Linked DNA regions of Anolis sagrei. Each later gene encodes a partner of the first gene's protein in a complex. Links are inferred from orthologs where the notes say so. Each region holds a gene or a part of one and is shown on either strand. Other genes may lie near its edges.

Evidence for each region.
Region 2: the proteins of TUBGCP3 (region 1) and TUBGCP2 are in contact, whole or in part, in a cryo-EM structure (PDB 8Q62), measured with the Homo sapiens proteins. The link is inferred for Anolis sagrei from reciprocal best matches to the Homo sapiens genes TUBGCP3 and TUBGCP2. Residues at the interface, in NP_006313.1 of Homo sapiens: Glu272, Asn273, Cys274, Ser286, Leu287, Asp289, Thr290, Val292, Arg293, Glu296, Trp299, Ser361, Thr363, Leu364, Arg365, Leu368, Val369, Tyr372, Lys375, Ile376, Lys379, Ala382, Ala383, Asp386, His387, Ala402, Tyr403, Lys405, Thr406, Gly407; in NP_006650.1 of Homo sapiens: Gln172, His173, Pro175, Ile176, Phe177, Pro178, Trp180, Arg184, Ala186, Leu187, Ile188, Gly189, Phe191, Leu222, Tyr223, Val226, Val228, Asp229, Gly230, Arg231, Glu278, Ser281, Phe283, Gln287, His290, Ala291, Ala294, Arg297, Val300, Lys301.

The regions. Positions count from the first base shown.
Region 1 is NC_090023.1:109,014,332-109,028,990, forward strand, and holds the start of TUBGCP3 (gamma-tubulin complex component 3), read left to right. Parts: upstream 1-9,184; 5' UTR 9,185-9,398; coding exon 9,399-9,474; intron 9,475-14,659. UniProt on the Homo sapiens protein: Component of the gamma-tubulin ring complex (gTuRC) which mediates microtubule nucleation.
Region 2 is NC_090032.1:193,415-209,048, forward strand, and holds the start of TUBGCP2 (gamma-tubulin complex component 2), read left to right. Parts: upstream 1-8,136; 5' UTR 8,137-8,272; coding exon 8,273-8,452; intron 8,453-9,587; coding exon 9,588-9,716; intron 9,717-10,259; coding exon 10,260-10,469; intron 10,470-10,672; coding exon 10,673-10,832; intron 10,833-10,946; coding exon 10,947-11,154; intron 11,155-11,274; coding exon 11,275-11,474; intron 11,475-11,605; coding exon 11,606-11,795; intron 11,796-13,076; coding exon 13,077-13,222; intron 13,223-14,194; coding exon 14,195-14,375; intron 14,376-14,859; coding exon 14,860-15,040; intron 15,041-15,634. Other genes in the region: ZNF511 (zinc finger protein 511), read right to left, coding at 1,333-1,411, 3,407-3,592, 3,816-3,940, 4,155-4,356, 5,931-6,061, 7,761-7,850. UniProt on the Homo sapiens protein: Component of the gamma-tubulin ring complex (gTuRC) which mediates microtubule nucleation.

The DNA.
Region 1 (14,659 bases):
ACTTAATTCAGTCTGCTACCCTTGTCAATGAATCAGGAGGACTGCTATCATTTTGACCAAGCTGTAAAATGCTGACCCCGTTTGCTCTCATTTACAGTCATCTTTCTCCTGCAAATGTATTCTTTTAATTTCACTTACAGAAAAAGAAATTGCTGAAAATATAGCAATATTCAAGTATGGGTTGGCCAATAATAATTAATAACAGTTCACAAAGAATAAATTACCATTATTGTTTGCTACAGCACAGAGAATAAGGTTCTTTTATACTCTCTGTCTTCATAGCTATGCACTCAACATCCTATGTTCAAGGTACAGCCAAGTGGCATTGATAAGAGGCAGCTCATTCAGGGCTCATCTTGTAAAAAGGGGAAGATCAACTAAATCTTGAAGCATTGATTTATACCCTGACTTTCACAACAAACTATTTCCAATGTGTCCTACAGCTGGAGTAACTCATTATGTATTAGCTCCAGAGGAGTAGTAATACAGTGATCAATCTTATACTAAGTGTATAAACTCTTTGACATTCCACCCCAAGACTTATGATATGGACTGCATTTTCTGTTCACAAGGCATTGTGGGGTTCTATGAAAGGTCTTGCTTCATGTTTGCAGTGTAAAGATGGTGGCTTGAAAGAAGGGATCCAAAGTGGAAGATATCCCCTACATGCTATTCATATAGATAGAAAAGTGACTTGAATAATCATCTTGGAAGACAGATGATCAATCTGATCTTGAGTATGGCCTGGCAGTGTTTTCCCTTGGGTCTAAACACAATTTAGGCCCCTCAAGGAGATTTATTTGATACGAAGTCTGGTGCGAGCCACTGATATGTAAAAAAGGATTTCATTGATGGCTAATTGAAGCTACAGGTTTTTGTAGCACAAATAAACTAGCATAAACAATGCCCACAAGATTTCAGATAAAGTTCCCAAGACTAAAAGTGTCTATGCATGTCTGCTGGATCCAAAAGGTGAGAAAAGGCAAAAGCTTTTACTGAACAGTTCATGAGAATAGAGAAGATACAGCTCTTCTAGATACAAACCAACTACTTTTTAGAAGCCTGGAAAATGCAGAAATGAAAATTGATGTGAAAATACTCATACTCACTTCTTCCATTTGGGTGGACATATTCTTACAGGAAAGCAAATGTTTAGCCCATTCTCATCTCCTGGAATACTTTGCCAGGATGAACAGTGAGATCTGCCTTACTCTGCCTCCATGCCAATGGAAAGCTGTAATTATTTATGACTCAAGCATACACTCCTTATTTTGGTGGCAAATGCCTCATAGAATACACACTGCCACATGCATCCCCTTTCTTCCCTATAGGTACTTCTGCTTTCCACAATGAGCTATCATAGATTAGCTTGCTCTTAAATGCCCTGCAATTTCATCACCACTATACTTATACAGAGAGCAGAGAAAGAGAGTGACTGTAAATGACTTATGACTCATGTGACATGATTCTCAAACGAAATACCTATAGCTCAACATCATAGCCTAGGATCTCACAGAGGGAGAGTCAGATAGTGCCCCTATATGATCTGCAGTTTTATTGCCTACCCCCACAACCCTCAATGCATTGGGGAGTCAATTCTATTGGCTTCCCAAATGAGTTAGTCTTGATATTCTGAGTCAAAACTGTGCAGATGAGCAGAACCTCTCCTATATGAGCACAACTGTATTGTCATAGACATGCAGCCCCTATGTTCTTAGAGCTGCAAGTCATAAGGATATGGTGGGGCCAAATGACAAGTCTTTTTTCTTTCTCTTAGGGCCCTTCCACACAACTCTATATCCCAGAATATCAAGGCAGAAAATCCCACATTATCTGAGTGTGGACTTAGATAACCCAGTTCAAAGCAAATATTCTGGGATTTTCCGTCTTGATATTCTGGGATATAGGGCTGTATGGAAGGGCCCTCAAATTATGGTAATGTGGGATGAATACGGCTCTGGTCTCTTGCTTGTTGAAGTGAACTCTGAAGCAGCTACATACATTTCTGTATTGAAGAACTACTTTGCATTGACCGATAGCCCAGAAGGAAGAAAACTCTTTGCTACCTAAAATCTCTCCCTAGGACATAAGAGTAAATGTTGAGGTTTAGGTACTTATTATTACAGCTCCCATAGTAAGAATATGTGCATGCCTACCAGCTGCCTTTTTTTTTTGGGGGGGGGGGGTAAATTTAATGGATTTTGTCTACTCAAATAACAAACTGTTGCCCAAATATTTTGGATTAGAATAGATTGATAAGTATTATAGTTCATTGATTCTAAGATGCATTTTTCCCATATAAACATTTGGATAAATTGGATGTCTTAGATTTTTTTTTTTCGGTTGGTGGTGCTGAAATTAGTGTGCATTTTAGGGCCCTTCTACACATATCCTAAAACATGAAGAAACCAGGATAAAAGAGGGGTGGCTGCTAAATGACATTTCCCGAAAATGGGTGCAGATCCGGATAACAAGTTGAAAAAATGTTTTAAAGGTTCACTTTAAACCTGATTTCAATGAAAAATGTGTATATTCGTAAGACTGAACACTCCTGTACTCAAGGAAAATACGTGATTTCGTTTCTATACCCTGGTGTGGACTGCTTCAGCACATGTGCACATTTTAAAATCCTGAAACAGTTGATCTGGACTGTAAACAAAGGAGCCCCAAGCACATAGGTGGCTAAAATGAAGCTCAAATGGAAACCAATTCCCACAAGAACTCTCTGCAAATATTCATTTGTTCTGATCTTTATGAAATTAAACAGAGCTTGAATTTACAGTAAGGTGAGGAGAGATAATAAGAAATCTGCTTGTGTGTACATTTAGATATCCACATGAGCACATATGAGGTCCAGTGCATCGCAGAGAGTCAATTAAAAAGAAAGAAATCTTCCGCTGGATGTCCTGTCCATCTTGCGAATTTATAAAATCCGCTACAAAGGAAGGTGTCAGGATGGCAGGAAACCATTTCTGACAGGTCTGTTTGGACTTGCTCTCAGGTCCTACAATTTTTGCCCCTTATTTGTCCCGCATTTTGACACCACCTGGAAGCACCCTTAGAATCAATTGTGTCTTTGAATTGCTAAAATATGGTATTTTTGCTCCAACTACTATGGGATAGCAGCTAAACTCAGAGTGAATTGGAGCCAATGGGCAATGTCAACAGATTATGTCAACCTTGCTATTCAAAGCATTCTGGGTCTTCAGCTTTATGAACCCTGGCTCCACAATATTCACCACATTTTAGTACAGGGCTGAGAATAAGGCAAGTCTTGCAGATGTCATTTGATTGTAGTTCTCCACATTCGTTACATTGATTATGCTGTCTTGGTTTGCTGGGAATTGTAATCCAGCAGTATTTGAAAGAAAGACTACCGCTCCTTCTACATTGCCATATAATCTACATTATCTGCTTTGGTTTATATGAGTGTATACTGCAATATTATCCAGTTCAAAGCAGATAATCTGGATTATATATGGCAGTGTAGAAGGGGCCTAGCTCTCATGTGCGGTCTCTATTGAGCTTAATATCACAATGATTACAGCAGTGAGGTATCACAGTGAAATTATTTAGATATTCCATTTTCAGTCTCCTTTGTTTTGTCATAACAGAGAACATAGTTCCTACCTCCAAAAAGGTTTAGCCCACTACTGTGCCAAGATGTTTTGTACTATAACTTTTATGATTCTCCCCCATTAGCTATACTGCTAGACACACAGGAGTCATAGGTCAGAATCATCTGGAGAGCTACAATTACAATCCTTGTATAAAGCATATAAATCAATACTTAGTCTGGAGTCTATCTTTATTGTTTGGTGTTTTGTGTCTTCAAGTGGAATCTGACTTACGGAGACCCTATCACAGGATTTTCTTTGCAAAGTTTATTCAGACTTGCAATTGCCTCTTTGATTGAGAAATCCCTCCATGGTTGAGTGGGTATTCAAAGCCTTGTCTCCCAGTTTCAGAGGACTTTATTGTGTGAAACTGGCAAACTGACATTGAGGCATGACTGTCATCTCTAGTGATCTATTGTACAACTCTGCACACAGCCATTACTGGACTGTCACCTCTCACCTCTCTGTGATAACAGTAACAACAATAACAACAAAAACAACAACAAAAACAATAAACTTTATTTATATCCCACCCCCACTCCCCAAAAGGACTCAGGATGGTTTACAACAGAAAAAAACACACTATAGTAATAATAAACATACAACCAAATCAAACTTAAATCACACAATAATTAAATCATAAAACCACATAAACATATTAATAAAATTCAAAAGGACATCACTGATGGACAAGGAGGTATGTGACAGTTAAAACATATACTGAGATTAAAAGGATTACAAAAACTGACCCTTCTTAAAGGGTCGGTTTTTTGGTGACTAACCTATCCCGTCAACAACCACTGATCATATCATGGTCCCATCATTTATCACATGCAATAAATCCAATTCGCTTGAGGCTCTGCTCTCCCACTCTCCTCACTCCACCTTGCAGTAATTCATAGTTTAAAATGTAACTTATTTTTACAAACTTACACAGGAATTGTGAAGTTGTTTTTGCAAAAATATTATTTTTAATTATGGAGCAGTGGAACTGCAAAAAAAGTGGAGTTATACTATTAACTGGAAGTATGGCCATGGGACCACAGATTGCTGAATTGTTGGAGTTGCATGATGGAGAGTTATGATAGCAGGAGGGATCATCCCAGTAAGTAGCCACTATCCTTGATTGAATGAATGCTGTGGAAAAGTGGCTTCATATATTGTCCAACATATACATTACACTATACAAGCTTTTAGGGTAGTCATGGACTAGTTATTCATGAGCTGAGTTACTTCCATTAAGGCTCCTTCTACACTGCCATATAATCCAGATTATGAAATCAGTTATTCCACACCATCTGCTTTGAACAGGATTATATGAGTCTACACTGCCATATAATCCAGTTTAAAGCAGATAATCTGTATTATATATGGCAGTGTAGAAGGGGCCTAAGGAAGTTTACCTAGCAAGGTAACAGCATCTCACCTTCCTCCTAGTGAATCTTTTATCTCGACTGCTTTTCTCACTTTTATTTAAGAATGTATTGACGCTACCAATGCATCTCCTTCTTGTACACTGAGATTTCTTATATATTGCTTGAAAGCATCAGACCCCCTGGAGAGTAGATAAAAATACTGGGGAGAAAATAATATGTCAGGGAGCAGATTTGGCAACTGGGACAGTAACAGGTATACCCTTTCTTCCTTGAATCTCATTCATAAAAATATAAGAAATTCTACTCTAGATACAGAATAATTCATTCCATTCATTCTATGGCACATGCTGGCCTCTGATACTCTATGGCTATTGACCTCTGTTTCTACTCTTTATATAGCTAATCCGAAGACTCTTCCCATAAACACTTAGCAGTGCTTTCACTCATCATGTACAGTCAGTGTTCTTTGCAAGCATTCACATATCCACTCTTCTTTGTTCTTCCATTTCTTTAATTGAATTGCAGCTCCACGAAGATTGCTATGAGAATTCTAAAGAAATTGCTATAATTTCTATACTCATTAGCTTTTTTCTCATTACAAGTTTCCCAAATGCTCCACAAATGAAGGCCACGTGATGCATCGTCAATAACTCATTTATATGTTTTGGCAGTGATTACATTAGTGCTGGATTTGGGGGCTCAATTTTATTTTATTTATATTTCACTTAGAATCCAAAATGGAGCTCAGAGTGGCTTATAATATAAGTAAAAAATAGTTAAAACACTATGTGATAACAAAAGCATTTGTAGTCAATCCAATTAAAATATTGATGCATTAATTTTATATTTTTTATAATTTTATAAAATTTTATAATAACATATTCATAATACAATTAGTCTGGGGGCAATAGAAAAGACCCACTTGTTTCCTGGACTCTTTCAAACCTGGCAGTGCTGACAAGGGCAACTGATTCATCTCTTTCCAGGACAATGTTTCCATCTCTGTTTTAAGGTGCAACATGTTTTCTCAAAATCCTTCAAACACCTTATATTTTCAAGGCACTATGTTAGTTTATTAGAACTATTTCCCATGAAGGTCCAATATTAGAAAAATCCCATTTTCAGTTCTTCTTTGCTAGCACCCACACTTTTGAATGCTTAAAGATATATTTGGCAGTGTTTAAACAGAAACACTATCCAAATGTTGTCTTTAATTATTGATTTGAGCAACAGATGCTGATAAAAGGCCTATATAAGAAGAGAACAGTAGGTCTAACTTTATCCATGTGGCATACATTTCTGGCCAGACCACAGTTACCAAAAACCACAGGCATGACTCAACACTATTACATTACCTGACTTCCAGTTTTAGACTAGGGCTCTTCCATACAGCCCTATATCCCAGAATATAAAGGAAAAATCCCACAATGTATGCATTGAACTGGGTTATCTGAGTCCACACCCAGATAATGTGGGATTTTCTGCCTTGATATTCTGGGATATAGGGCAGTGTGGAAGACCCCCTAGATATTCCTACAAAGGCACATTTTAGGAATTTTCTAGGTCCACCTGAGTGACTCTGTAGTAATATCTGGGAAAAGGATGCCATAGGATCATCTGGAGGACCAAGCACATTCCCTGCATGTGGGTAAGTGAAACCTTGAATATGGGTTTTCACAGAAGTCTTGGAATCCAGGAATGCTAGTTTTCACCAAGGTTAAGGAAACACTAGGTAGATTTTGGAACTGAACCACAAGTTTGCAGTCCTCATTAAGGACTTGGATAACATTCAGATGAGTTGCCTGGCAGGGAAAAGCCCTTCCCCCATTGGCTTCTCTGCCTGCCCACCTCTCTCTTTCTATCCCCTGCTTGATAGGCCCCTTCTACACTGTCATATAATCCAGATTATCAAAGCTGATAACCCACATTGTCTGCTTTGAACTGGATTATCTAAGTCTATACTGCCATATAATCCAGTTCAAAGCTGATAATCTGGATTTTATATGACAGTGTAGGAGGGGTCTTATGGTCATAGAAACACTTGACATCATTTTTCAGAAATCTTGGAGAATCCTGGAGCCAGACCTCAATGGATAACAAGGGCCCACTGATTTCTACTTCATCCAATATGTAGTTGAATTTTATTTGGTCATATTGGTAAAAGACTCTAGATATTGGTAAAAGACTCTAGAATACTGTTAATCATTAAAGAAACAAACTATGCCTAACAGAGGAAAGGCTCCCAATAAAGAATTAAGTGCAATAATGCTAATCAATGGCTGGAAGAACTGATATTGACTGCACAGGCTGTAAGATTCATCTGTGGCTAGATCTACACTTCCCTATATTCCAGGATCAGATCTCAGATTATTTGGAAGTGTAGACTCATATAATCCAGTCCAAAGCAGATAATCTGGGATCAGATCCTGAGATATAGGGCAGTGTAGATCCAGCCTAGTTGAGTACAATCCACAAGAAATTCCAGTTGGGTTTCTGACACTGTAGAATCAATGCAATTTGACAGCATTTGAACTGCCAGGGCTCTATGCAAGGGCTCGGTCTTGGGTCTGGTGAGGCACACTGTGAAACGACAACTCCTATGACTTCTTAGCTTGAGCTATAGCAGTTCAAGTTGTGTAAAACTGCATGAAAACTTTCCCATGGCTTAAAACCACAACAATCAGCCATATAACCTAGAATATCAAGGCAGATCATCCACAGTATCTGCTTTGAACTGGGTTATCTGAATCCGCACGGCCATATATTCCAGTTCAAAGCAAATAATGTGGGATTTTATATACAGGGTGAGGCACATAATTTCCTTTTTTAAAATGCGCGCCATTTAGTTGGTTGAAGATGTAGCGGAGCGCTAGTGGTCTCGTTCGAGAGGCGGGAGTATAAAGTTTTGTCCTGACACAGTTCAGCAGCCATCATGCATTGGAACAGTGAGGAGTGTGCTTTTGCCGTTGAGGCCTACTTTTCGAGTGGATTTGGAGTGGCCGGCCCGCTCTCCAGATTTGGCCCCTTGTGATTTTTTTCTATGGGTTTTTTTTTTTGAAATCCCGTGTTTATGTGAACCGTCCAAGGACCCTACAAGATTTGAAGACCAACATCCAGGAAGAAATTGCCAACATAACGCCTGCTATGCTGGCAAGAGTCATGACAAATGCCAGAAATCGATTTACTCAGTGTATGGAGAATGGGGGACGTCACCTACCTAATTTGATCTTCAAAACTACGTAAAACAAAACTTTAGGTATGCGCCTACAATATATATATATAAAAAAATTCTGATTCATACAATGGGTTTTATTAAGTTTTGAAAAAAGGAAGTTATGCTGCCTCACCCTGTAGCTGTGTGAAAGGGCCAACAGATTATCTGTTTATTGCAGATTAAATGGCAGTGGAGACTCAGGGTCCTTCCACACAGCCATATAACCCAGAAGATCAAGGCAGAAAATCTCACAATATTAGCTTTGAACCGGGTTATCTGAGTCCACACTGCCACATATACCAGTTCAAAGCAGATAATGTGGAATTTTATTCAGCTATGTGGAAGGGGCCTTAGGGCCCTTCCACACTGCCAATATCAAGGCAAAAAATCCACCATATCTGATTTGAACTGGGTTATCTGAGTCCACACTGCCAGATAATCTAGTTCAATGTGGATGTTATACAGCTGTGTTGAAAAGACCTCATATAATCAAGTCCAAAGCAGATACCCTGGGATCACATCCTGGGATATAAGGGCAGTGTAGAAGGGCCCTTCCACACAGGTCTACATCAAGGCAGAAAATCCCACAATACCTGCTTTGAACTGGTTTAGCTGAGTCCACACTGCCCTATATCCCAGTTCAAAGCAGAAAAAGTGGGATTTTTTGCCTTGATATTCTGGGATTGAGGCCTGTGTGGAAGGGCCCCAAGGTTCCCGCCTTCACCTCACGGTTCCCGCGCCTGGAATTTAAACCGCGATGGCGTCACGCCTGGTCTAGTGGCGCAACGGAGCGGCTACGCGATGACCGAGAAGGAATCCTCCTTGGCTTTTTTCCGTGGAAGACCTCTGGCTCGGTGGATGTCCTCTTGTTGAGAGAGACGCGGGAGAGAGAGAGGGAAACGCCGCTTCCCGCTGTGCCTATGAGTGTGTGTGTGTACCCCGGAACCTCTCCGCCGCAGCTCCAGTGTTGCGCCACGGACGGTGTTCGGTGTGACACCGTCCGGGCTGCGGGGCATTCTGGGGGCCCGCGTTTGAAAACCGTTGCCGTTCCCCCTGTGTCTCCCCCCCCCCCTCACCCCGCTATCTTTCGGCGGATTCCACTAAAATGGCGCCCTAAGTGAGGGGCTGAGCGTGGCGGGGAGAGGGCCTCGGGAGCGGGGAGGGCCCGTGAGCGGGGGCGCCGAGGCCGGGATGGCCAGCCCCGACCAGAAGTCGCCCAACGTCCTCCTCCAGAACCTGTGCTGCCGCATCCTCGGCAAAGGCGAAGGTAACCGCGCTCGGCCTCCCCGCCTCTCCCTCCCCTTCTCCTCCTCCTCCTCTTCCCAGGCCCGAGGTCTGGCCGGCCTTCCCGCCTCTTCCCGCGCAGAAAGAGGGGAGGCATGGGGTGTGTGCTCGCCCCCCTGCTCACATGCACATCTCTCCATCCCGTCAGAAGTCTCGCCCAAAGTGGGCAGCTCTCCATCCTCTAGCTAGGCAGTCCCCACAAAATACACCGCTTTCCGTCCCAACACAGGGTGTCTCCCCCGCCTTCCACATGGGCGACTTCCCACCTCAGCTCTCAAGAGTGAGTGACAGGCCCAGGAATACAAGCTGACCCCAACCCCAAGGTGCATCTCTCCATCCCATCAGGAGCATGGCCTGCAGGAAGTCAGGAAGTCCTCCAATCCCCCCAAATTGACAACTCTCCATTCCGCCAAGAGTGATGGCTGCAGGAATACAGCACCCTTAATAGGGAAGTAGAGTGCCCTCTCTACACAGCTCTCCATCCCATCAAAAAGGAATGCCTGCAGGAATAGAGCCCCCTCCTCTCCCCCAAATGGACCATTCTCCATCCCAGCTCCCTATCCTGTCAAGAGTGATATCCCTAGGAATGCTAGGACTTGTCCTCCTAAATGTAAATCTCTCCATCCCATCAGGAGCATGTCCTGCATGAATTCAGGAAGATCCCCCCCCCCCCCCAATGGACTACTCTCCATTTCGTCAAGAGTGATGGCTGCAGGAATACAGCACCCTTAATAGGGAAATAGAGTGCCCTCTATACATAGCTCTCCATCCCATCAGAAAGGAATGCTTGCAGGAATAGAGCCCCCTCCTTTCCCCCAAATGGACCATCCTCCATCCCAGCTCCCTATCCTGTCAAGAGTGATATTCCTAGGAATACTAGGACTTGTCCTCCCAAATGTACATCTCTCCACCCCATCAGGAGCATATCCTGCAGGAATTAAGGATGCCTCTCCCCCAATGGACAACTCTCCATTTCATCAAGAGTGATGGTTGCAGGAATAGAGCACCTTTAATAGGGATATAGAGTGCCCTCTCTACACAGCTCTCCATCCCATCAAAAAGGAATGCCTGCAGGAATGCAGCCCCCTCCTTTCCCCCAAATAGACCATTCTACATCCCGGCTCCCTATCCTGTCAAGAGTGATATCCCTAGGAATACTAGGACTTGTCCTCCCAAATGTACATCTCTCCATCTCATCAGGAGCATGTCCTGCAGGAATTCAGGAAGCTCCCCCCACCCAAATGGAAAACTTTTCATTCTGTCAAGAGCAGTGGCTTCAGGAATACAGCACCCATAATATTTATTTATTTATTTATTTGCTTTATTTCTATACCGCTTTTCTCAGCCCGTTAGGCGACTCAGAGCGGTTTACATAATAAAGGTTATCACAACAGTATCATGGGCAATAAAACACATTATACATAACAGACAAAATCAAAAAACAATCATTATCATAACGCCTCAATAGCAAATCAGAATCCGTTCTCATAATCCTTTGTACCATTTTCCTATGTTCGATTGTACCATCTTCCTGTATTCAGTTGCACTGTTTAGCCAAACGCTTGTTCGCAAAGCCAAGTCTTAACCTTCCTCCGGAACGCCAACAGCAAAGGGGCCTGTCTGATGTCTACAGGTAGGGCATTCCACAGCCGAGGGGCCACCACCGAGAAGGCCCTGTCCCTCTATATAATAGGGATATAGAGTGCCCTCTCTACATAACTCCTTCCATCCCATCAAAAAGGAACGCCGATTCTCCATCCCAGCTCTCTATCCTGTCAAGAGTGATATCCCAAGGAATACAAGGACTTTCCCTTCCAAATGTACATCTCTCCCATCAGGAGCATGTCCTGCAGGTCTACAGGGTATTTCCCCAAAAAAGTACAGCTCTCCACCCCAGCTCTTCACCATACCAAGAATGATATCCCTGGTAGTACAGCTCCCCTCCCTTCATTCTAGCAAGAGTTAATCCCATTTATTTATTTATTTATTTGTCGTGTCATCCGCAACCAGAACATTGTATTACATTTCTAACAGAACAAAACAAACAAACAGATAAAAACCCACACATTTTGCAAACTTGGTAGCTGATTAAATGTCCTTTGACCAGTATCTGACCACTTAGAGTGCCTCTGGTGTTGCCGCAAGAAGGTCCTCCATCGTGCATGTGGCAGGGCTCAGGTTGCATTGCAGCAGGTGGTCAGTGGTTTGCTCTTCTCCACACTCGCATGTCGAGGATTCCATTTTGTAGCCCCATTTCTTTTTTAAAAAAATATAATCTTTATTGAAGTTTTCTAGAAATACAAACATTAAAATAGAGTAGTATAGATAGCATAGTTAATCAGATAAAGATGTATGAAAATATAGGAGGAAGTAGAAAAGGAATAGAAAAGGGATAGGTAACGGTTGGAAGGAAGATAACCTTCCAGGGAGCGTAGGGGGAGGGAGGGGATATCCTGGGTATCTAAGTGTCGTGGTAGGGATAGGAGGGGAGGAAAGAAAATAGTTTAAGTGAGAAACAGAAAAAGTGAAAAGTTAAAAGAAAAGATTCAAGAAAAAAGTTCTTTCTTCCTTCGATACGACTTCCAGGATTCGTGAGGGGGGAGGCCTCCTCCTCTTCTTTCTTTCATTTTCCTTTCTTCGTCTCGTTTTTCCAATTCTAATTGACTGGGAATCTTATTATGTAATTACTCTTCTGTATCCAGGCCTTTCTGCCTGTCTTTCTATATTTGCTATTAATTGCATAGTTTCAGGTATTCTTTAAATTTTGTCCAATCTGTTCTTGTCTCTTCAACTCCTTTACTCCTTTGAATTATGTAACTTAGACTGTCCATATTTCTGACATCCATCATTTTCCTTTTCCAATCCTCGATCTTAGGTATTTCCTTTTTTCCTCCAGACTTTTGCCAGACAGATCCTGGCCGCTGTTGTCACAAGAAATAGCAGTTTATCTGTATTTTTATCTATCTTAATTTTTGTAATGCCTAATAAGAATATTTCCGGTTTCAGGGGTATCTTAATTTTCAAAATTTTCTGTAATATAATTTGTATTTCTTTCCAGTAGTTTTTTGTTTTCTTACACTGCCACCACATATGGTACAGCGTCCCTTCTACTGTTCCGCATTTCCAACATCTTGAATTTAGGTTTTTGTAATATTTGTTTAATTTACAAGGTGTCAGATACCATCTAAAAAAGATTTTCCACCAATTTTCTCTTATATCATATGCTTTTAAGTATTTTAAGCCCCATTTCTTAAGATTGGCTCTGCATCTCATGGTGCCAGAGCGCAGTCTGTTCAGTGCCTTCCAAGTCACCCAGTCTTCTGTGTGCCCAGGGGAGAGTCTCTCATCTGGTATCACCCATGGATTGAGGTGCTGGGTTTGAGCCTGCCACTTTTGAACTCTCGCTTGCTGAGGTGTTCCAGCGAGTGTCTCTGTCGATCTAAGAAAACGATTTCTTGATTTAAGTCGTTGACGTGCTGGCTGATACCCAAACAATGGATGAGCTGGAGATGTCTCTGCCTTGGGCCTTTCACTATTGGCTGCAACTTCCCGGTGGATGTCAGGTGGTGCAATACCGGCTAAGCAGTGTAATTTCTCCAGTGGTGTAGAGCGCAGACACTCTGTGTTAATGCGGCATGTCTCATTTAGAGTCACATCCACTGTTTTAGTGTGGTGAGATGTATAGCCCCCCTCCCCCAAATGGACAGTTCTCCATCCCAGCTATCTATCCTGTCAAATGTGATATCCCAAGGGACACAAAGTGTGCCCCACCCCTCAAATATACATTTCTCCATCCCATCAGAAGCATGTCCTGCAGGAATACAGCGTATTCCCCAAAAAGGTGCAGCTCTCCACCCCAGCTCATCGCCATGTCAAGAATGATATCCCCGGGATTACAGTCTACCCCAATACATATCTCTTCATCCTGCCCAGTTATTCCTATAGGAATATAGAGCCCCCCCCCCCCGCAAATACACAGCTCTCCATCCCATCTAAAAGTAATTTCTGCAATAATACAGAATGCCCCCCCCCCCAAATGTACACTCTCCATTCTGTCAAGAGTAATGGCTGCAGGTATACAGCTGCCCCAGTAGACAACTCTCTCCCAGCTCTTTTCTGCAAAGAGCGCTATCCCTAGGAATGCATGTTGTTCCTCCAAAAGGAACAACTCTCTGTCCTATCAAAAGTAATTCCTGCAGGAATATAGGGTGTCCACTAAAAAAGTACAATCACTGTCCCAGCTTTCAAGTTTGATACCCTTCAGAATATAAGGTATCCCCCCAATAAATAAATTGTGCAGTTCTCCATCCCATCACAAGTGATGCTGCAGGAAAACAGGGTGTCTCCCAAGAAAGTACAGAGTGTTTCAAAAAGATGAGCCCAATTTGAAATTATTATAACTCTGCAACTATAAACCACCCATGAATGAAAATGTTTCCTCTTGAAAGGGCAAGGCTTAGAGTTCCCAAGGATTACTACTAGATGCGCACAAACAGCCCCTAGCCTCAGTCATTTTCAAAATGGGTACCCAGAAACGAAAGGTCTAATGAGGTATTCTCTATTTGCAGAGTTGTTTTTTATTGGGTTCTTATTCAAAATGGTTAGTAAAACTTGATAATTCATTAAACTTTTTGTAACTTTTTGTGTTATTGTAAAATATTTCCATCATGAAATATACTGCCTTGAAATTCGGTCCATTATTTTGAAATGCCCTGTACAGCTTCCAGTCCCAGCTCTCCTTCCTATCTCTCCATCCTGTCAAGAGTGATATCCCTAGGAAAAGAGGGTGCCCCCCCCCCCCCAATGTACAGCACTTCATCCCAGCTTTCTATTCTGTCAACAGTGATGCCTGTAGAAATATAAGGTGCCCCTTTAACAGCATATAATGCTGAATATATATCCATTTGCAATATCCTCTCCTCCATGTATATACCTTTAATGGGATTCCAATAATAGAGAAGTGTTGCAAAATTTCAAGAGAAACTTTAAGTGAACTTTGTGCTCATTGTTTGACCATGGAAGGAGTTTATTGCTACATGGGGAAAACAATTTGAACACCCTACATAAAATTATATTTTTAGGTTGAATCATTATAGTAACATTTATTCTTCAATATGAATCCATATATTTAGCCTTCCAACAATCCTTCTAGCTATTTTTAACTGTTA
Region 2 (15,634 bases), on another chromosome or scaffold:
AGGGCCTAGAAAAGCCTGTAAGCTTCTCATCAAAGGACTCACACTGGGGAAAAACCCTATAAATGCCTGGAGTGTGGAAAGCGCTTCCAGCCCTAAACGGTTTGGGACCCACCTACCTGCGTGACCGCATTTCCGTATACGAACCCACATGATCCCTTCGTTCATCTGGAGAGGCCCTGCTCACGATCCCACCAGCATCGCAAGCACGATTGGTAGGGACGAGGGAGAGGGCCTTCTCGGTGGTGGCCCCTCGACTCTGGAACTCACTCCCCAAGGACATCAGGCATTCCCCAACACTGGCAGTCTTCAGAAGGAGCTTGAAAACATGGATGTTCCAGTGTGCCTTCCCAGATTAAGGAATCCCAAGCAATTGTCCCTAATGCACTTTACGAGAGAGTTAGAATTGTCTGCACACCCTTCTACTCCCCAAATATCCATCCTACCTCACCTGGACATGCCCAGCATTTTTAGAATTTTAACTATTACATTTGGCCCTGCCACAGGTTTTTAACAGTGTCGTGCTTTGTTACTGTTTTATTGTTTGCTTATGTATTGTTGCATTGTATTGTTGTCTGTTGTGTTTTTGTTGATGATGTACTTTGGGCTCGGCCTCTTGTAAGCCGCACCGAGTCCTGCGGGAGATGGTAGATGCGGGGTACAAATAAAGGATTATTATTATTATTATTATTATTATTATTCTCTCATAGTTCAGCTCTACATAAACATCATAGAATTCACACTGGAAAAAAGAGTGGTATTTGATACCAGGCAGACTCTAAGATACATAACGACAATAATTGTAAATGCGAGCACGATACTGGGATATTTTTATCATATTGTGGTCTTGCAGAAGCCCAAAAATATTGGACCCAAATACAAACATTCCCAAAGTTTTTGTCCCTGTGAGAATTGGATTTGGTTTGTTGTGGAAACAAAGACTGGAGAGAAAGCTTCAGTTGAGAGAGTAAAAAGGCAGAGAAATCTAGTTTCAGGAGGGCAGATTTTGATTGAACAATAAACAGACGAGAGTGTCTTGCCAGCAGTGTAAACACATGCATCCTGTGCACGTGTCAGTTTTATTTACATAACATTTATTATCATTTACATTCAGTTGGAAATAAGGACTTTATACCTTTTTGGCGTCCTGGGTTTCCTTCCAGGTGTGCAGAATAGATTGGAAACACCACTGTATGGGCTGGATGCTGCTTTATTGCTGGACATCCCTGAGGAGACGGGCCCTTGCCCTCCGATGGAGGGGGGCCACTCCTGACCGCGTCCAAGGCCAAAGTAGGGGAGGGGGGGAGAGCACTGTCCGGCAGGCTGCCCTCCTGCTCAGGGCCTCTTCCTCCTGCTGCTCCTGCCCTCAAAGGCCCGGGGGGCTCCCTGCCCAAAGGAAATACTGGCTGGGACCCTGGAAAGCAAGAGGAGAGAGAGGGGTCTGGTCAAGGAGAGAGAGGGGTCTGGTCTACGTGGGGTTGCCTTTGAAGACAGCTCAGAAGCTCCAACTAGTCCAACGCTCGGCAGCCATGATTTTAACAGGAGCGGAGCGCAGGGAGCATACAACCCCCCTGTTGCGCCAACTCCACTGGCTACCGATCTGCTACCGGGCTGAATTCAAAGTGCTGGCGTTGGCCTTTAAAGCCCTAAACGGTTCCGGCCCAAGCTACCTATCTGACCGCATCTCTGCCTATGAACCCACCAGGACTTTGAGATCTTCCGGGGAGACCCTGCTCTCGATCCCGCCTGCTTCACAAGCACGGCTGGCGGGGACAAGAGACAGGGCCTTCTCTGTGGTGGCTCCTCGGCTGTGGAACACCCTTCCTACGGACATTAGACTAGCACCATCTCTAATGGTATTCCACAAAAAGGTGAAGAGCTGGATGTTTGTGCAGGCGTTTGAGTAATTTAGTGCAATCTGGGAATGGAACATAGGAATGGAACAATGGACGGCGAACCTGGACTACGCTTGGATGATGAGAAGGTTGGGTACGGTTGTTTCTTGTAATAATTGTGCATTGTAATGGCTTATTGGTAATTTATGGATAATGTGTTAAGTCAATTGTTATATGTTGTATGGAACCACTGCTGTTTCTACTGTTTTTACTGTTTGTGAACCGCTGTGAGTCGCCTTCGGGCTTGAGATACAGCCGTATAGAAGCAAAGTAAGTAAGGAAATAAATAAATAATAAGGCTCGGCCCCAAGTGCCCCCCTCCCCGGTGACCGCTTCTCACCCAAGCAAACCTGGAAAGGAGAGAATCCTGCTTGGAAAGTGAGCAGATCCCGCGCCAGAAAGGCATGTATCCCACTCCCCTGGCCCTTGGTAAGAGAGGAAGGAGGGGTCACTTGGGGGACCCCCCCCCCCCCATCTACTTCCAGCAGGGATGCAGAGCCGGCCTCTATTTCCCTCCTCAATGCAGAGCCTTGTTTGCTGCTCCGTTGCCCTCAGCTGTGTTTCTTTCAGACATTTTTTTTTAATTTATGCTTTTTATTAAGAAATTTTGCATAAAGTAAAACTGATGTTTGCAAAAAAACATACAATGAAAGTGGTGGAACAACTGAAGATGAAAGAAAGTTTGAAACTTGATAGAAGAAAGAAAAGTAATGTAAGTAATGAAAGAATACAAAAAGAAAGAAAAGAAAAGAAAGCCCCCCCCCCCCCTTTCTCAACTTAGAGAGAGTTTTCCCTGCAAGTTGTTTCCAGGTTCTGTTTACCAAGTTTTTAATTACATGTCTGAATTTTTTTCTTTCTTTTTTGTTGTTTTCTTATAATCCCTTCTATCCTTTATGTTTCTTGTAATTTTACATTTAATTTAATGTAAAGTCGTCTGTATTTATTTCTTAGAAATTCCAGAACAATTGGCAAAAATGTAATAAAAATAAAATAAAAATAATAAAGTTAACCTATAAATGTAATAATAATAACAATAATAGAGTAAAGTAATAAATGTAATAATAGTAATAATAACCCCCTCTTGCCTTCTCTTCCTCACCCCCAGACCTTTCTCTCAAGGCCTCAATGGAAGAGCAGCACAATGCTATGGGAGTGGGATAATAATAATAATAATAATAATAATAATAATAATAATAGAGTAAAATAATAAATAACCTTGACTTGAGGATATGCCGAGGGGAGCTTTATCAGCCCAAAAAAGGGCTGGAAATTCAGGCTTATATTCGAGTATATACAGTATTTATTTATTATTTCAGATATTGATACCCTGCCCTTCTCAACCCCCGGTCTGTAACTCCATTGTGCATTACTGTGTGGAAATACAGTTCTAACAGACATGTGGTCACACACGTCCACTGAAGGGTTAAGCAAGGGGCAATTCCCCCCCCCTCCCCACTTCCATTGCCCCCTTCCATCTGCCACAATGGCTCCCAGAAAAGGATGAAGCCACTCACCGGGATCTCAAGGGCCGCTCCCTAGGTGTCGCCTGCCTCTGGGTCTGGAGGGACCCCCTGGGCTCCTCTTCCATGGCATCCGCCACGGGCATCGCCCCCTCCTCCACCACCCCTTCCTTTTGGTCCGCCACCTCCATGGGCGCAGTGCCGTCCTTCCCGGATTGGGGCTTCCTTGCCTTCGCTCTGCTGCCGGAAGAGGAGGGTTGAGGCCAAAGCGACATGGTGGCCGCCCTTTGAAAGGCAGGAGTGGCCCAGGAAAATTGTCCCTGGCAGGCGGGCCCTCCCCCCTCTTGCCTTCTCTTCCTCACCCCCAGACCTTTCTCACAAGGCCTCAATGGAAGAGCAGCACAATGCTATGTGAATGGGATGAAACCATTGGGCCTCCCTCCCTCCCTCCGTGGGCAAGTACCTTCCATGTTTGGGGGTCTTGTCAAAGCGGAAGTCTGGGGGGTAGCAGTGGGTGGTGACCAGGTGCTCCTTGCGGTCCTCTGGGCTCCTGAAGGCCTCTGGGCAGCCCTCCACCAAACACTGGAACTGGGAGAGAGAGAGAAAGAGAGAAAAGGGAGGGTCAGTGGTCAGTCTCCTGGCTGCAAAAGGAGTCCTGGTTTCCCCATTCCCTCAAAATACAATGATCACAGGGACAGGAAGGGAAGGAAAACCCTCTGAGCAGAGGCACAGGCAGCCAAGCATCCTCCGACCACCAGCCCCAGGCTTGTGTGATGACTTTGCCTGACCCCGGGGCTCCTACCATGCTGCGCTGCTGGGCCTGGAGCTGGAAGAGGGCCGCCCCGTGCTGCTCCAGGAGGTGGAGGTCCAGCAGGCGCCGAGACGGGAAGGCCCGGCGGCAGGCGGAGCAGACGTCCCGGTGGAGCAGGTCGTAGTGGTGCTCAAAGGCCTCCAAAGAGGCAAAGGCCTCCCCGCAGCCCTGGAAGTGGCAACGCACCTCCGCCCTAGGAAGGAAGGAAGGAAGGAAGGAAGGAAGGAAGGAAGGAAGGAAGGAAGGAAGGAAGGAGAGACTTTGTTTGTAAGTCGGATGTTTGTAACTTGGGGGTAGCCTGTGTATATATAGTAAAGGTAAAGGTTTTCCCCTGACATTCTGGTTGTGTGTGACTCTGGGACTCTGGAGTTCATCTCCATTTCTCAGCCCAAGAGCCAGCACTGTCCGCAGACACCTCCAAGGTCATGTGGCCAGCATGACTGCACGGATTAGTCTTATATATTTCTATACTGTACTATACCACTATACCACAATATTATTAGTAATATTGCATGCAATATATAATATAGTAAAGGTAGAGGTTTCCCCTGACGTTAAGCCTAGTCGTGTCCGATTGTGAAGGGTGTTGCTCATCTCCATTTCTAAGCTGAAGAGCCAGCACTGTCCGCAGACACCTCCAAGTTCATGTGGCCAGCATGACTGCATGGATTAGTATTATATATTGCACTATACCACTATACCACAATATTATTAGTAATATTGCATGCAATATATAATAAAGTAAAGGTAGAGGTTTCCCCTGACATTAAGCCTAGTCGTGTCCGATTGTGAAGGGTGTTGCTCATCTCCATTTCTAAGCTGAAGAGCCAGCACTGTCCGCAGACACCTCCAAGTTCATGTGGCCAGCATGACTGCATGGATTAGTATTATATATTGCACTATACCACTATACCACAATATTATTAGTAATATTGCATGCAATATATAATAAAGTAAAGGTAGAGGTTTCCCCTGACATTAAGCCTAGTCGTGTCCGATTGTGAAGGGTGTTGCTCATCTCCATTTCTAAGCTGAAGAGCCAGCACTGTCCGCAGACACCTCCAAGTTCATGTGGCCAGCATGACTGCATGGATTAGTATTATATATTGCACTATACCACTATACCACAATATTATTAGTAATATTGCATGCAATATATAATAAAGTAAAGGTAGAGGTTTCCCCTGACATTAAGCCTAGTCGTGTCCGACTGTGAAGGGTGTTGCTCATCTCCATTTCTAAGCTGAAGAGCCAGCATTGTCCGCAGACACCTCCAAGTTCATGTGGCCAGCATGACTGCACATATTAGTATTATATATTTCTATACTGTACTATACCACTATACCACAATATTATTAGTATTATTGCATGCAATATATAATATAGTAACGGTAGAGGTTTCCCCTGACATTAAGTCCAGTCGTGTCTGACTCTGGGACTCTGGTGCTCATCTCCATTTCTAAGCCAAAAAGCCGGCGTTGTCCATAGACACCTCCAAGGTCATGTGGCCATGGGCATGACTTACAGCATTGAGTGATTTTACCTTCCCACTAGGCCGTTACCTACTGACTACTCACATTTGCATGTTTTTGAACTGCTAGGTGGGCAGAAGCTGGGTCTGACAGCAGGAGCTCACCCCGCTCCCTGGATTCGAACCACCAACTTTTTGGTCAGCTAGTTCAGCAGTTTAACCTGGTGCATCACCGGGGGCTCCACACACACACACAATGGTTATGGGTCTGCTCTTCCTCCTGTCCCTTTACTCACCGTCTCCCATCCAACTGGGCCTCTTCTCCTCCTCCTCCTCCTCCACCTTCGGCCTCCTCCTCCTCGCTTTGGGCTGCAGAGAGGGCCAGCGTGGCCTGGCAGAGGGACAGGTGCCGCTGGACATCGCCTTCCTGCGGCCAGAGAGACCCGAGAGACAAGGACTGAGGAGGGAAGGAAGGAGGGGGTTGTGGGGCCTCCCTTCATGACAGAATAAGGGGTCTTCTTTGGGGCCTTCTAGCAGTCCATGGTTCTTCTTCTTCTTCTTATAGTATGGTTCCTATTATTATTATATTATGCTTCCTGTTATTATATTATTATTATTTTATGCTTCCTATTATTATTATTATTATTATGTTATTATTATTATATTATGCTTCCTATTAATATTATTATATTATTTATTTATTTAGCAGTTTTGTACACTGGTCTTCTCACCTCTGTTCGAGGGACTCAGGCCGGTTTCCAACATCAATATTACAGACAGTCATCCACTTCGAAGGCACACAACAAATGAAAAAATCCTTGTACACGAACCAAAGTTAATCCAGCAAGAGATAACATATATTATGTTATGCTTCCTATTATTATTATATTATTATTATTATTATAATTATTATATTATGCTTCCTATTATTATTATTATTATTCTCATATTATGTTTCCTATTCTTCTTATTATATTATGCTTTCTATTATTATTATTATTACTATTATTATATTATGCTTCCTATTATTATTGCTACTTTTATTATGTTTCTTATTATTGTTATTATTTTCACATTATGCTTCCTATTCTTCTTATTATTATTTATACGCTTGTATACCGCTAATATCTCAGCCTAAGTCGGCGACTCATTGCGGTTTACAACATTTAAAAACAGTATTCAATTTAAAAGCATAAAACAACATCTACAGTACAAATTATTGGGCCACCAATAAAAAATCCTACGCATCTCGTAACTGAAATCGCAATCCAATTCGTCGTCCATGATTACCAATCCTTAGTCATCAAAATTCGTTGCAACGGATTAACCGAATGCTTGTTTAAACATCCATGTCTTCAGTCTCTTCCGAAACATCATCAGCGAAGAAGCTGATTGTACCTCTATGGGGAGGGTGTTCCAAAGCCGAGGGGCCACCACAGAAAAGGCCCTGTCTCTCGTTCCCGCCAGCCGCACTTGTGAAGCCGCCGGGATAGAGAGCAGGGTCTCCCCAGAAGATCTTAGGGTCCTGGTGGGCTGATAGGTTGAGATACGTTCGGATAAGTTGGGCCAGAACCGTTTAGGGCTTTAAAGGCCAAAGCCAGCACTTTGAATTGGGCCCGGTAGCAGATCGGCAGCCAGTGGAGCTGGTGCAGCAGAGGAGTTGTGTGCTCCCTGCGCCCCGCTCCTGTTAGTATCATGGCTGCCGCCCATTGGACTAATTGGAGCTTTCTTATTATATTATGGTTCTTATTATTACTATTATATCATGCTTCCTATTATTATTATTATTATTATTATTATTATTATTATAACTCCTATTATTATATTATGGTTCCTATTATTATTATTACTATTATTATTATAAGGTTCCTATTATTATTATTATTATTTATTCCGAGGCTGGATGGGCATCTGCCGGGAGGGATCGTGTGGTGCCTCCCTGCCCAGAAGGGGCCTTCTTCTTCCATCTCTGGCATTCTGATCTGGAAAGGCGTTTGGCCTCAAAGTCGGGGCGGAACCTTCCTCCCGGGCCGGGCTCCTCCACCGGAAGACAGAGAAGGAGCACCGCACGGCAAGGGGCGTGGCTTCCTTTCCCCTCCCTCCCTCCCTCCGCAACATCCGGGCACCTCGAAGAAGGGGTGGTGAGCCGGGAAGCGGAGCCGCGCCGGGCGGAAGCGGAAAGGCCCCGAGACGGAGCTGGCCGCCGCTGCCGCCATTTTGCCTTGGCTTCCTGGCCGAAGCGGAAGAGGCGGAGCGAGGAAGACTAACTCTCCATCCCAGCTGCCCTTTCCCTCAGGGAGGCTCCGCCCCTTGGCTTCCGGTTAAGCCGGAAGGGGAGGAGCCATAAAGAGCTGCAGGAAGGATTGGCCTGAGGGAGGTCCCGCCCCTTGGCTTCCGGTTAAGCCGGAAGGGGAGGAGCGAAACTGCGCCATAGCTGGCCGCAGGAGGGTTCGGCCTGAAGGAGGCTCCGCCCCTTGGCTTCCGGCTAAGGCGGAAGGGGAGGAGCCATAACGGGCCTCAGCGGAAGGAAGCAGGTTTTCGTTGCCTGGAGACGGCAGGAAGGGGCGAGCGAGCGGGAGCTGGGCCTGGCCTTCCCCTCCTCACCGTCTCCGTCTCCCGGGCGGGCGGGCGGGCGGCCATGGCGGAGTTCCGGCTGCACCGCGACGTGGACGAGCTTGTGCGTCTGCTGCTGTTGCGGGGCGAGGCCGGCGGGGGCGGGTGCGGGGGCGCCGAGGGCTTCGTGGAGCTCCTCCAGAAGAGCCGCGCCCAGCACGGACACGCCCCGGCACCCTCCGCCGCCAACGCCGCCGCCGCCAAGGTCAGGGTCCGGGCCGGGAGGGAGGGAGCGGGGGAGGAAGCCCTGTGACGCCCTCACTCGCCCAGGGGTCTTGGCCTACAACTCCCAGAACCCCCAGCCAGCCACTTCCCCAGCTGTTCGGATTCCTGGGAGTTGAAGGCCAAAACCCCTGGGGGGGAGGGAGGGGGAGGGAGGGGGGGAGGGGCCCACAGATGTGGAGAAAGAAGCGCTGCCCTCACCCCTCCCATGGCCCCAGGCCCCTCCCCTCCCTGAAGGCCCTCCCACCACCCTATATATATATATATATACACACACACACACACATAAACATAACTCAAGGGATGCTCCCCCGACCCCTTCCCCTCCCCTCCCTTCAGCCCCTCCCCTGCCCTACATAGATAGACATAAACATAAATCCATGGATTCTCCCCTCAGCTCCACCCACTCATCCAGGCCCCACCCTTCACAGCCCCCTTCAGCCCCTCCCACTACCCCACACATACACATACATAAATATATCTCAATGGATGCGGCCATCAGCCCCTCCTACTCCCCCAGACCCCTCCCACCACCCCACATATATACCCATAATTATAAATCAGTGGATGCTCCCCCAACCCTCTCCCCTCCCTTCAGCCCCTCCACTAATGGAGTCCCCAGTGGCACAGTGGGCTAAACCAACAGGTCCAGGTTCGAATCCGGGGAGAGGCGGATGAGCTCCCTCTATCAGCTCCAGCTCCTCATGCGGGGACATAAGAGAAGCCTTCCACAAGGATGATAAAACATCAAAACATCCGGGCAACGTCCCCTGGGCAACGTCCTTGCAGACGGCCAATTCTCTCACACCAGGAGCGACTTGGTCCTGACACGACAAAAAAAAAAGCCCCTCCCACCCCATATATATATATATATATATATATATATATATATATATATATGTTGATACTCCCATCAGCCCCTCCCACCACCACAGGCCCCTCCCACCTCTCTCTCCCTCTCCCTATACTCCACTTGCTTCACTTTCAGCCATAGATGCAGGCAAAATGTCAGGGGAGAATGCTGCTGGACATATAGCCTGAAACACAACCCAGTGATCCCGGCCATGGGAGCCTTGGGCAACACTTTCCTGTTTCTCCTTCCCTCTCCGTTTCCTCAGGCCAAGCTGGCGGAGTGCTCCCGCTGCCCAGAGACCTTCCTGCGGAAGTACGAGGAGCTGAAGGGCAAGAACGTGCGGCACCTTGACGCCCTGCTCGGCCTCCTCGCCCGCCTCGCGGGGGACCCCCCGGTGAGTGAGTGAGTGAGCGAGTGAGTGAGTGACAGCAGTAGACTGAAGGAGAGAAGGGGAGGGGCCTCCGTGGCCATGTGGGGTGCGGGGAGAGGGGTTATTGTTGGACAGGCAATACCCTACAGAGTTACAAACCTCAGAGTTACAAACACCCGACTTACAAATGACTTCTAGTTAAGAACCATGGGGCTGAGGCCACAGGGTGACAAAGGCAAGGACAAGCAGAGCTGTGACTACATTGAACTCTATGGCTTCGCGTTGATGTGGCATTGGGGGCTGAGTGGTGGTGGGTGGGGTGTGGAGGGGTGGGCGTGTTGTTTTGTGATGTGTGCTTGGAAACACATTTAATTTTTTTGTGCAACAGCACCATGACAACAAAGCTATTGTATTGTGTTTCATTCTGCACTCTCAAACCCCGCTTCTCAAATAGAGAGTAACCAGGATTGACCCCTTCCCAATTTCCCGAGAGACGTGCTTGCCGTGGGGAGCCTCCCTCCTGCGACCCTGCCTGACCCGACCCTCCCCTTCTCTCTCCCCTCGCAGACCCTCCAGTTCCTGCAGCAGAACGCCAAGGAGAGGGCCGAGCTTGCAGTGGCCACGGCTCCCGTTGCCGGCCCCGGCATCGCCTCCTCTGCCGCCACCGCCTCCTCCGCCTCTTCTTCAGCCCCGAAAATGACGGCCCAGGAGCTGGAGGAGCTCCGCAAGCAGCTGGGCAGCGTGGCCGCCTCCGGGCCCCAGCACCACCGGCCCAAGGTGAGCCGGAAGACCCCCACAGGGGGGATATTATACACTCTGTTTGCTTGGGGCTTCCTTGAAGGCACCAGGCACAGGGTGAAGTGAATAAAGGAGAAAGTGCTGCTTGAACAGGGTCACACTGCCAGGAAGCCACACGGCACCCCACTTGCAGAGTCGGCATGTATTCCAGCCGTGTCAGACTCGCCTTGTCTCTCCTGCAGCCGCTGCACCAGGTGCGGAAGGAGCTGAGGGAGAAGCAGAGCCGGAAGAACACCGGGCAGCCCCTCCCCTCCTTCCCCGACTGGGTCTACGAGCGCCCCGCCCTCCTCGGGGACTTCCTCCCGGGCTCCGCCCTCAGCACGGACACGATCGTGCCCATCGGTGGGTTCCTGGAGGGAGGGAGGGAAGGAGGGCCTCTACCAAGGTGTCCATTTCCTGACCCGCGACTCCCAAATAACAAGGCCCACTGTGCCCCCCCCCCGCCCCCGCTTCCAGGCACGCTCCCGCTGGCGGCGCAGGAGTCAGCGCTGGTGGAGGACCTGCTCTACGTCCTGATCGGGGTGGACGGGCAGTACATTGCCGCCCAGCCACTGGTGGGCCAAGAGGGGCGGACCTTCCTGGTGGACCCCAACCTGGACATGTCCGTCAAGGAGCTGGTTGGGCGCATCCTCCCTGTGGCCGCCAGTTACTCCGGGGTGACCAGGTACGCGCACTGGCACTGGGGGGAAGGGAAGCCGTGAGGCAGGGAGTCCTTCCTAAGGTTGGACTCGTTGAGCCGTTGCCCATGGGGCATACGTGTCTTGGCTCCCCCCTTTTTATATAGGTTTGTTGAGGAGAAGGCCTCGTTTGAGTACGGGCAAGTGAACCACGCGCTGGCGGCCGCCATGCGGACCCTGGTCAAGGAGTACATGATCCTGGTCACCCAGCTGGAGCACCTCCAGCGCCAGGGCCTCCTCTCCCTCCAGAAGCTCTGGTTCTACATCCAGCCCACCATGCGCACCATGGAGATCCTGGCCTCCATCGGTGAGGGGCTCCCCTCTCTCCTCCTGGGTCCCTTGCAGACCCCCCCCCCTTGAGAGGAGGGAGAGGGGAGGGTCTCCTCACTCGCCTGCCTTCCTTCCTCCCTCCCTCACCCTCCCTTCGTGTTGCCGCAGCGATGGCCGTGGACCGGGGGGAGTGCGTGGGGGGCGCCACGCTGAGCCTGCTCCACGACAAGACCTTCAGCTCCACGGGGGACAGCCAGGCCCAGGAGCTCTGCCTCTACCTCACCAAGGCCGCCAGCGTCCCCTACTTCGAGATCCTGGAGAAGTGGATCTACAGGGGACTCATCAACGATCCCTACAGGTGCGCAAGGGGAGGGCGTGGCGGGGGGGAGGGGGGAGGGACAGGCACCCAGATCTCACTCTGAGGAATAGTATTTGAACCTTACAATGCTCTTTAATCTGTCTTCAGTGGGAGAGAGAGCAGCAGGCACACATACTCAGCACTGGGTTTTATAAGAGCTACTAGCCATCCCTTGCCACATGTTGCTGTGGCCCAGTCTGTGTATATATGTGTGTGTTTGTGTATATATGTGGTTTTGCATATTTTTTGTAATGTATTGTATTGTTTATTGGCCTTCTACTGTGTTTTTCAGTGTGTTTATCAGTGATGGTCACTCATTGGCCCGAGAGGTGTCTTGTGTCCAAATTTGGGGTCCATTCGTCCAGTGGTTTTGGAGTTATGTTAATCCCACAAACCAACATTACATTATCTAGATTACTAGCCGTCCCCTGCCATGTGTTGCTGTGGCCCAGTCTGTGTATATGTGTTTTGTGTGCGTGTATATGCTTATATGTGTGTGTTTGTGTATATATGTGGTTTTGCATATGTGTTGTAATGTATTGTGTGTTTTTTGGCTTTTTAAATCCCTCCTGTTGTGTTTTTCATTGTTTTTATGAGTGATGGTCACTCATTGGCCCGAGAGGTGTCTTGTGCCCAAATTTGGTGTCCATTCGTCCAGTGGTTTCTGAGTTCTGTGGCCCAGTCTGTGTATATGTCTTTTAAGTGTATACATGTGTGTGTATATATTTATGTATATGTGTATATATGTGTGTTTGTGTATATATTTGGTTTTGCATATGTGTTGTAATGTGTTGTCATGTATTGTATTGTTTTTCGGCTTTTTAAGTCCCTTCCACTGTTTTTCAGTATTTTTTAATGAGTGGTGGTCACTCATTGCCCTGAGAGGTGTCTTGTGTCCAAATTTGGTGTCCATTCGTCCAGTGGTTTTTGAGTTGTGTTAATCCCACAAACAGACATTACATGTTTATTTATATAGACAAAATGTGGTTACACAGACAAAAAAGGGGGAGCAGCGCATATGCTGTAACATTCACTCACATGCACTCACTCACTCGTGCTCACCACCCTTCTTCATCCAGTTCATCCTCACTTATACTTCAGCATTTACTCCTAATCCATACATTCCACATTCGTCCTCACTTCCCTTCTCCGCTCAGTCCGTCCAGCTTCTTGGTTGTGTGTCTGAGGGCAGGAGGGGATCCTGTTGTGGCCGGAATGCCACTGCCCCCTGCTCACCGGTGTCGTCGTGTGTGTGTGTCCCTCCCCCCCCCCCCCCGGCAGTGAATTCATGGTGGAGGAGCACGAGCTGCAGAAGGAGAAGATCCAGGAGGATTACAACGACAAGTACTGGGACCAGCGCTACACCCTCGTCCCGCAGCAGATCCCCTCCTTCCTGCAGAAGGTGGCCGACAAGATCCTCAGTGCAGGTCAGGGCCACCCTCCGGCTTTGGTTTCAGCTTTCCGGGTTCCCCTGGGAGTCCAGGGGTCAGCACTCCTTCCTTCCTTCCTTCCTTCCTTCCTTCCTTCCTTCCTTCGGAGTGAGCCGGGACTCATCGCTGAGCCTGGAACCCCAGGTCTTGGTGGTGGCCAGGGGAGCTTTTGCACAGTTAAAGCTTGTGTGCCAGCTGTGCCCATATCTTGGTAAGTCTGACTTGGCCACGGTAGTCCACGCTCTGGTTACGTCCTGCATAGACTACAGCAACACGCTCTACATGGGGCTGCCTTTGAAGACTGTTCAAAAGCTCCAAATGGTCCAGCTAGCAGTAGACAGGTTGCTAACAGGAGCGGCACTCAGGGAGCATACAACTCCGCTGCTGTGTCAGCTCCACTGGCTCCACCGGGTACAATTCAAAGCCCTAAACGGTTCCAGCCCAGCTTAGCTGTCTGAACACATCCCTCCCTATGAACCCACCAGGGACTTGAGATCGTCCGAGGAGGCCCTGCTCTTGATCCCGCCTGCTTCACAAGCACGTCTGGCGTGGATGAGAGACAGGGCCTTCTCTGTGGTGCCCCCTCAAATGTGGAACTCCCTGCCCAGGGATATTAGATCGGCCCCCTCCCTCCTAACCTGAAAACGTGGCTCTTTGAGCAAGCTTTTTGAGCCTCAGCATAATTAGACAAATTTGAAACAGAAAATGACCCGGGAACGGCTAAGACAACAGGACAGATGAGGACTGGACATGGCGACGTAGTTTTAATATTTTTATTGTTCAATGTTTTGATGTTTTTAGATACAGTGTAATGGGATGCTTTATTGTTATTGTTGTATGTATTTTATATATGGCATCGAATTGTGCCGACTGTTTGCCGCCCTAAGTCGCCTTCGGGCTGAGATGGGCGGGGCAGAAATAGCGTAAATAAATAAGCAAATAAATAGATCCCTCCTCCCTTCTGTGCAGGGAAGTACCTGAACGTGGTGCGGGAGTGTGGCCAGAACGTGAGCTGCCCGGTGGCCAAGGAGGTCATCTACACCCTGAAGGAGCGGGAGTACGTGGAGCAGATCGAGAAGGCCTACAGCTACGCCAGCAAGGTCCTCCTGGACTTCCTCATGGAGGAGAAGGAGCTCGTGGCCCACCTACGGTGCGTCCGCCCGCCCACCCGCCCCTCCAGCGCCCCTCCCTCCAAAGGCAGGCCATGGGTTTGGCCCCGCTCCAGAAAGGGGCCCCGGTTGGGAGAGATACTTGGGAAGAGGCTGTTGGCCCAGGGCATCCTGGGGGGGGGGGGCAGGAGTAGGAGGAAGGGTTGGGTGAACTGTCTCCTTGCCGTCACGAACAGAGACATGCACATCGTCGCCTTCAAGGCATATGGGAGAGAGACCTTGGAGACACAAATTGAGTCTGAGGTTCTGTTTAGTCTGCAGAAGAAGAAGAAGAGGGGCGAGAGGAGCCCCGAGGGTTCCCCTGCCTGCCTTTCCCCATGGACGTGTGTGTGTGTGCACCCCTTGGCCCTCCTCTTGGCCCTTTGCGGGGTCCCCGGAGGCTGTCCCCTGCCGACTCGGCCCGGCCCCCTTCCGGCTCCCCCTTTATTTCCAGGTGGCTCTCTTCCCTCCTCTCCCTCCCTTCAGCTCCATCAAGCACTACTTCCTGATGGACCAAGGGGACTTCTACGTCCACTTCATGGACCTGACGGAGGAGGAGCTGAAGAAGCCCGTGGAGGACATCGTGCCCACCCGCCTGGAGGCGCTGCTGGAGCTGGCCCTGCGCATGAGCACCGCCAACACTGACCCCTTCAAGGACGACCTCAAGGTACGCCGGACCAGGCGCCCTTCCCGCTCCTCCTTTAGCCTCTTGCCTTGGGTTGGGCTGCACTGGGAACAGCCACTCCTGGTCAATCCCTTCTTCAGAATCGTACAATATCCATCAGTCCAAACACAAGGCCCACAAACACTCGTAACCTAACGCCACTGTTCCCTCCCCGATGGGCCCCCTCCCCACAAATGTGTCTGTTCATGGCTCTCTCGTCCAGTGTTTTATCATTTTATGTCGCGCATTTGCCCCCCCCCCCCCACTGTGTTTTATTCTCTGTTATGTTATTTTGCACTGTTTATTTTACTTGGTTGGTTTATTTATTGTGGTGTTGTTTTTGTTGTTTATATTTTATGTATTGCTGGGCTTGGCCTCATGTAAGCTGCCCCGAGTCCCCTTTGGGGAGATGGTGGCGGGGTATAAATAAAGTTGTTGTTGTTAGTAGTAGTAGTAGTATTACTATTATTGTGATATATTGTTTTACTATATTGCTGGGCCTGGCCTCATGTAAGCTGCCTGAGTCCCCCTGGGGAGATGGTGGCGAGGTATAAATAAAGAGTATTATTATTATTATTATTATTATTATTGTGTTAT